Canis lupus familiaris: one gene and its partner. The protein of the gene in region 1 interacts with the protein of each later gene in a biochemical or structural test. Links are inferred from orthologs where the notes say so. Each region holds a gene or a part of one and is shown on either strand. Other genes may lie near its edges. The genes, in order: CREB1 and RPS6KA5.

Region 1 (3,823 bases):
ATAGGCAATCATCACTCTTAATAAATTCATTTTTGACAGGTAATATACAAAGCACTAAATGATAACAGTAGTACACAAGTAAAAAGTAATCCCTTTTATTGTGAATCTTTTAGACATAATTATCACCAGAAGTTTATTTCTGTTATCAGAAAGAAATATCTCATCTGCATGTAGCTGCTGCTGCTAGGAATTGTTCTCCACTAACTTATGCTGCCATTTAGTGCTAGATTACCCAACAAACAGACTAGCAAAGTAGGGCCCCAAAGTGAAAAAGAACAGCCTTGATTAACTTACTCAAAATTTTATTTCATGTTTGTGTGCATGTGTAGTGTTGTACACTGTACATGGGGTGAGGAGTCAGAACACCCAAGATTTGCAGTGTTTGGGGCCTCTAATTGGGCCCTGTGGCTGTTTATCCCACCTTTCTATCTTGATACCCCACAACTTGGGCTGATTTTGTCCTACCCCCAGTAATTTCCTGTGGAAGTAGCTTATAATTTTCTACTTCTTCCCTGTAAAAGGAGGGAATACCCTAATAGGAAGTACCATGAAGCCAATATTTCATAGACCCTGGCATCAGCTCTCTTCTACTCTACCTTCTCTCCATACCTGAGGAGTACAGTTTGAAGAAATTAGAATTTTATTGGCACCCTCCTCCCCTTGTTAATAGGGGAGATTTGTGGAAGAAATAGTTGGAATAACAAGGGAAAAGACAAGTTTTTTTTCTTTTAACTAGATTTCGAAGTACATTTGCTAACCTAACGAGCACATATACCTATTTATAACCTGAAATTTGTGTTTAAAGTCACAAAAGCACAAAGCACTGTAGTGCTTGTAACACTCTTCCATATTATTGTAGGTAACTAAATGACCATGGAATCTGGAGCAGAGAACCAGCAGAGTGGAGATGCAGCTGTAACAGAAGCTGAAAACCAGCAAATGACAGTTCAAGCCCAGCCACAGATTGCCACATTAGCCCAGGTATAAAATACATGGAGAGATTCCAAGTTACGTCTCTTCCAAGAGGAATATGTTTTAGACAAAAAGATTTAGTTTTCATTGCAGAGAGATGCATAGAATGAGCACAGACATTCTTAGAATATCAACATTCCTGTTTACTTAGTATATTAGCATAATTTTAGAAATGATTCAGTAACAGAACAGAAAAATGTATTGTTAAAACACTAATTACCTATTTGTAGTGATCTGATTCAGAATAATGACATTTTGATTAATGGAAAGAGATTATCTCTCTTAAACAAGGGAAGAATACCTGATAAGGTAACAGCTTTTTTTTTTCTTTTTTTTTGTTTTTTTTTTAATCACACAGATTTTTTGAGGCATGGGAATTTAGATAACCGACAGGCTAACTTTTCTATGTGCTTAAACCAAAAAGTAGGATAGGCAAATAGATTGACACACAAGTAAATTTCAAGAATGATAATGGGTTTTTGTTTCCTATATCTTTTAAATATAATTCATGATTCCTTCTGTTTGTCTGTCTTAAACATTTCTATCTCTAGAGTTATATTCTCTCATTTTTATTTTTTGTTCTGATGTATTTTTCCTCAATTATTTTATTAACCACTAATTGTGTATATATGAGTGAGAAAGGTAGTTAATATAAAAACCAAGTAACAGACATAAACCTGCTAGATCAGAGTATCATATTGCCTTTTTCTGATAAAGGCTCCCGGGAGAAAATAATTCCAGCAGAGGTTCTGGAATGTTGAGCTTCGCCTTCCTGAAGAATTTAAACGCTCTCCTCAGAGAGTCCCTGAGCAAGAATGGGTCTTGGAGAATCTGTGGCTAAACACAGATGGTTACTACACTGAACTAAAGTATGGCCCAAATACTTGATCTCCAGCAGGGATATAGTCAGAAGGAGTGGGCTGCTCTATGTTTTCTACTAAGAGTACTAGGGCTGACCTCCAACCCTCAGGGGAGAGACAAAGCAGAATATATCTGGGAATGAAATAAATACTTGGATAAGGCAGGTGCAGGAAAAGGGGAAAGAGCCAGGACTTCATCAGTACATGGTCAAGGCAAACACGACAGATCAGAGTCTGGGCTCACACAAGCATTTGACCCTCTGGTAAAAAGAAGGTACAGTTCTAGAAGGAATCTTGGTGCTGACAGCCCTCATACCTATCTCTTGGGTGGCACTATCCTGTCTGCTCTGCTTGTCCTCTAAGTCTGCTGTATAATGCATTCCTGGAAATTCCTTTCCCTTTACTGTCTTTCTGTTATTGACTTTGTGTTCTTGATACAGTAAAACGTTTTCCAGTGGTTTCTTAAGCAAGTTTGGGTAAAAAAATTCTTGGTAAAAATATTTTTTCTTGGGCACTTGGGTGGCTTAGTTGGTTAAGCATCCCACTCTTGGTTTTAGCTCAGGTCATGATCTCCTGATCGTGGGATGAAGCCCCACATCGGGCTTCACACTTGTGGAGTCGGCTTCAGATTCTTCCTCCCTCTCCCTCTGCCCCTCCCAGCTTTATTTTATTTCTCTAGTATCTTATTTCTCTCTGTTCACAGTGCTTCACTATTTCATTATTAGGGTCTTGGTTCGGATAGTTTTTATCCATTGTGCTATATATATAATTAGTGGGCCCTTTTATGGTACAAACTCATGTCTTTGATTCTGGGCAATTTCTTTAAATTATTTGGTTGAAGGTGTTTTTTCCTCTTTCTTTTTCTCTAGGATCCTTGTGATCTAAATGATATACCTATGGGATTATTTCTCTAATTTTCTCATCTTTACTGCTTTCCATCTTTTTGCTCTGCTTTCTGGGAGATTTCTTCAGCTTCCTGTTCCAAAAAGTTCCTTTTGTTCTCTGAATGGTCCTTTTGTGTTTTAATAGCATCCTGTTATGTTTTACAAAGGCAGTATTTTCTGTCATCTCTGAGAATATTAATTAGGTTTTAAGTTTTCTTCTCCCCACATAGATTTTCCTTTGTATAGCTTTTTGCCCTTCAATGTGTTTTGGTCTCCATCTTTTATATTAGAAACTTTCCTCGAATGTCTTAGAATTTGTTCTTGTCTGTTCAAGTTTAAAGCAGGAAACCAAAAAACTATTGGAAGCTCTGGATGTGTTTGGGGCCTAACAGCTATGAATTACGAGCTTCACTGTAGGGTGATTATGGCTTTCCCAATGTCAGTATCTTTTAAGTCTGTTTAATTTAGCCCCTTGTCATTGGTTAGGTTCCTGAGGGAAGGCCTTCCTAATCCCTTGCTTAGGGGAAAGGCCTGGGAGCTAAGAGAGAGAAGACTGGAGGTTAGTAACTCCACTGTCAGCAGTGTTTGGTATAGGCAGTCAGGAGACCACTGTCCAGAAATTAAATCTCCGTTTTTCTGTCAGCATGGGGTAGATTAATTACTCTTCTTCAAGGAGCGTGGGGAGGGGATCCAGTTGCTTCTCAAAGAACCTTTAACTAGCCTTATTTTCTCAGCCTCTCTCTTTACTCCACCTTCCAAGGTGTCTTAGATACTGAGCCTCTTAAGGATTTTATGGTGCAAATCAGGCTTTCCTTGCCTCTACATCATGAGTTGGCCTTTTGAGATCTTCAAAGTCCATTACCATTCATCCGTCTTCCCAGCATCCAAAACTATTACTCTCATCTCTTTTCCCACTCTTTGCTCATGTGATTGGACCTGTAAAAACAAAATCAATTTTATGAAATTTAATTGGAGATTCAGAAAGGAGCAAAATAATATACACATGTTTAATCTGTCATCTTTATTAGGCAGTCCAAGAACAATGACATGTTGTTTGAGTTATAGAAAAGCTAGTTTTCTATTCCCATTTATATAGTTTTTGTTCTT
Region 2 (3,823 bases), on another chromosome or scaffold:
TGGCTAAACCCATGGGTGAAAAGCCTTACAAGAAACCACTGCTTTTAAAATAAAAATCCTAATTTACAGAATTCATTGACCAGGATGAGTCCATACAAAAGAATGCCAGAAATGGTCCTACCTTTTGCTGATTATTTTGACTGCGAATGCTTGGTTACTTTTTTTGTGTATGCACTTCCGACAAATTGAAAAACTTCCCTCTCCCAGTGGCTTGTCCTTCAGATCCAGGTCATAGTGCTGATAGAAGGGGGAGTCCTGATAAGAAACCAACATCACTTAATTTCAGAAAATACTAGGAATGCAGAGGGATAAATAACATTGTGGGTAAAAGAACATTATCAATGTTAATAAATATGTGTGGGATACATTTATAATCTTCTAAGATTCATCTTGCTTTAGCTCATTTCTACTTTCATCTATATAACTTTTTAAGATACATAATTTGCTATCATTGCAAAACGGAGTTCACTGAAGTTGATATGACTAATTCTCTAGGGCAAATGCTGCTATTTCCACTTACTCATTTCCTAAAATTGCATCTTAGTCAAATGGTAAGTGTCTCACGTTCACTGGCCTTGACAATGTTAATTGGTGTTGGTATTTAAATCGTAACTATGTCATCTCATTGACCACATCTATACCTTCATCATCGCGCTCCTGGCAACATTTGTCACTCCAGGACGGTCAACTCCCGTGTGAAACTGAAGAGGATCTATGACAGCAGCATTACGCTTGAACAGAATGGAAGGAGCAACAAAGGAATAGCCCTTCAAAAGAAAAGGAAGAGTAAAGAATGAGGATTTGCAATTTTTCAGGTTAGCACAGACCAAACTGTAGCAATTTTTTCCTTATATCAACAAAAAAGAATGAAAAACATTCAAATAGGTGTTAAGATGAATCTCATTTTATTTGTGATCTAAAATGCAAGGTGATTTCACATCAATAGAAAAATGCTTTTCAGAAGGAGATAATGCCATCTTCTGGTAGAATTAAACCGATTCAAAATTAAAGGCAGAAAAACCTTACTTCCTAATCTACCCCCAGTATCTGACTCACAGCTGCGATTCTTTTGCATTGCTGATAAAAGTTCGCTTATAAAAACACAACTAACTTCTCAAAAAGGTAGAGTTTAAGGCATTAGACAAAGTGGTCCAAGGGCTACTGTTTTGTAGCAAGGTTCACTACAGTTAGTTTCTAAGTTAGCAGTTATTTGACTCAATTATTAAATTTGACTCAAATTTTAAATTGAGTTTTGGAAAAGAAATAAAATCAAATGGCAGAATGATGGCCTGAACCAAAAGTGGCATCGGGATAGATGATTAATCTGCTCAAGCTAGAACATTCACTAGTTCGAAGGATGTTTTTTTGAACATCTACTATGTACCCAGCCATGTACTACACATTTGGGTCATTAAGGGCCAGGGACACAGCCCAGGTGACCAGATGAGGCCATACTAATGGGATCCTTCTGGGACTCAAGAAGGAAAGCTCTGATGCCATTTGACAGTGAGTCTACTGCAAGTCTGAGAAAGATCTAAGTATAAAATCTTTTCTAGGATCTTTTTCAGGAGTTAGAAAGCAGTTAAAATTGTTGGCTGAAGATAAAGAATCAGATAATACTTTTAATGAACTGCAGAAAATTTTGTATGGATAGAGGTAAAATACAGTAGCATTGTATTTTTCTATAAAAGAGCCTGAACAGAAATGAAATTTCAAGGAAAAAAATCAGCACTTCTTTATATATAAAAAAACACATAATATCCAATATGTAACAGACCATAAACTTCAGTTGATAATGTGCAGTATTTCTATGTTTAAGAGATTAGAGAATCTTGCTTTTAAGATGCCAAGTACATGTTCATGGGAAAATTAGTCTTTTTTTTTCTTTTTTTTTTTTTCTGAGCACACATGGCCCCTGTGCATGAACAGACTCTTGGAGATTACCTGAAACAGCCTCTCGGAGCTCTGGGGCAGTGCTGCTGGGGAGTAGGTGGGATCCATCTCTGTGAACTCTTCTGCAAAGTTACTCACATCTAATTCATCTCGGATGACTGGCTTAAATGGCGCGGGCACTTTTTTGGCGGCTAAATCATCCCAATTTATTTTCTAAAACAGAGAAAAGAAAATTGGTACAAAGTAGAAACCAACAAAGTTGGAGTATTTTCTGAGAATTTTCTAAGAATAACAAGGACAGATTCGGGTTTTCATTGGTTGATACGGAAAGTACACATATTGCCAATCAATAATTAGAAATATGGTGGGTTATTTATTTTTTTTAAAGCATGAGCACATTTTCTGACTGCAGTTGATTGCTCCAGCCAATGCTGAAAGATGAGACTGCCCTTGGTCACTGTGGGGTCTTGCTGGGTCCTCTGGGGGGCACCGAGATACCCTAGGGATAACAGAAAAATTATTTTTGTCCTGACCCTCCTGAGAAAGGAGGCCAGAACAAAACAAAACTGAACTGTAATAAAGGGCTTTTCAATGCTCTATGGATATGAATATTAATTCTAAAGGAATATTCCTGTTTTCTAGAGGCAATGTTGAGTGACTCTCTGCCTATACTTGGTTTCCCTCCTGGTCCTCTGGACAGATCAGAAAATAAAAACTCACTATAAATCATGCACTTGTTTAGGTCTCTAAGTGAAAATGGTACTATCATACTAATGTAATCATCTGCTTCTCATTTAACTAGTATTCTAGCTTTTTAAATACTGCTCCTTCTCTCCCCCATAGGATAATCCAGGTTCCCCTCTTCCCTCATGCCAGACACTCACTGCCTGATAAACTGCTATGTGCTATGTTTTAGAGTACTCAAATTCAATTCTGTGCTCTATTTAACTTATGCTCCTTCTGTCACTTAAAACCACCTCAGACAAGACTTATTGAATTGAATTCTACAGCTATCCTATTAACATACTTCCTCAAATCTAAAATGTCATCACTGATAGTGAGATACACCATTATTTTATGTACCATTTAGGAAGAAAAGGCATTACCAGCTGGAATGGTTATGATATCCACTGTAAGACACATTTCGATTTCAGAGACGGTTGATGACAGTCGTTAAGTTTAATCAACCAACATAAAATGTTTTTATTATGCCCTCTTGTGGAGGCAATGTAGAAAAAAAAATCACTAGATTACAGGTCTTCACTTTTTTTATTTTTTCTAGCTTAGAGTGGGCTTTAGAGATCATTTAGCTCATCTCCTTTACTTGATCTAGATGGAAACTGAAGCCCAGAAGCAAGAGATAACCTTTTTACTTAAACATTAGCTAGTGGAAGGGTCAGTCTCTTGATTTTTTCTAGTTAGTGTTCTGTCCTCTGGGTGGCTGTAATGTTTTCCATTACAAGCATATGATTTGTGCTTGGCTATTTATACACACATTAAGAGAAACTATTAGAGTAAAGGGGTCATTTAAAGAAATATGTTGTTAGCAGGAGAACGTTTGGTGTGTAAAAGATTGAATGCTATTATGCTCCTCTCCACCTCCTCTCCATTTAGGTCTTTACAAGTTGGATTCTAGTTTTTCCTAAAGTGTCCTTGTTGTTTAAAAAGCAAGGCAATTAAATAGCCTAAAATTACTATTCCAAGCTATAGAAAAGAGAAATTTCTCTCATATGAAAGACATACTGTAATATTTACAAATAGAAGGAGTCATGGAGAATACGACCCTAGGAAAACATGATTGAGATATTTTGCTTGAGTACTTTCTTGAATTTTACCTTATTGTTAAATTTTTTTTATTGTTAAATTTTGAGCCAGATTTCTCAACAACATATTTGAAATAGTTTGTACAAATATTAATCTTTGTAGGCCA

The links.
Region 2: of the proteins of CREB1 (region 1) and RPS6KA5, one has a biochemical effect on the other in vitro, tested with the Homo sapiens proteins (3 studies listed by BioGRID, with this or other methods). The link is inferred for Canis lupus familiaris from reciprocal best matches to the Homo sapiens genes CREB1 and RPS6KA5.

The regions. Positions count from the first base shown.
Region 1 is NC_049258.1:15,801,962-15,805,784, forward strand, and holds part of CREB1 (cyclic AMP-responsive element-binding protein 1), read left to right. Parts: intron 1-285; exon of another isoform or gene 286-859; 5' UTR 860-867; coding exon 868-981; exon of another isoform or gene 982-3,578; coding exon of another isoform or gene 3,579-3,652; intron 3,653-3,823.
Region 2 is NC_049229.1:62,155,445-62,159,267, forward strand, and holds part of RPS6KA5 (ribosomal protein S6 kinase alpha-5), read right to left. Parts: intron 2,107-3,823; coding exon 1,945-2,106; intron 768-1,944; coding exon 642-767; intron 256-641; coding exon 122-255; intron 1-121. UniProt on the Homo sapiens protein: Serine/threonine-protein kinase that is required for the mitogen or stress-induced phosphorylation of the transcription factors CREB1 and ATF1 and for the regulation of the transcription factors RELA, STAT3 and ETV1/ER81, and that contributes to gene activation by histone phosphorylation and functions in the regulation of inflammatory genes.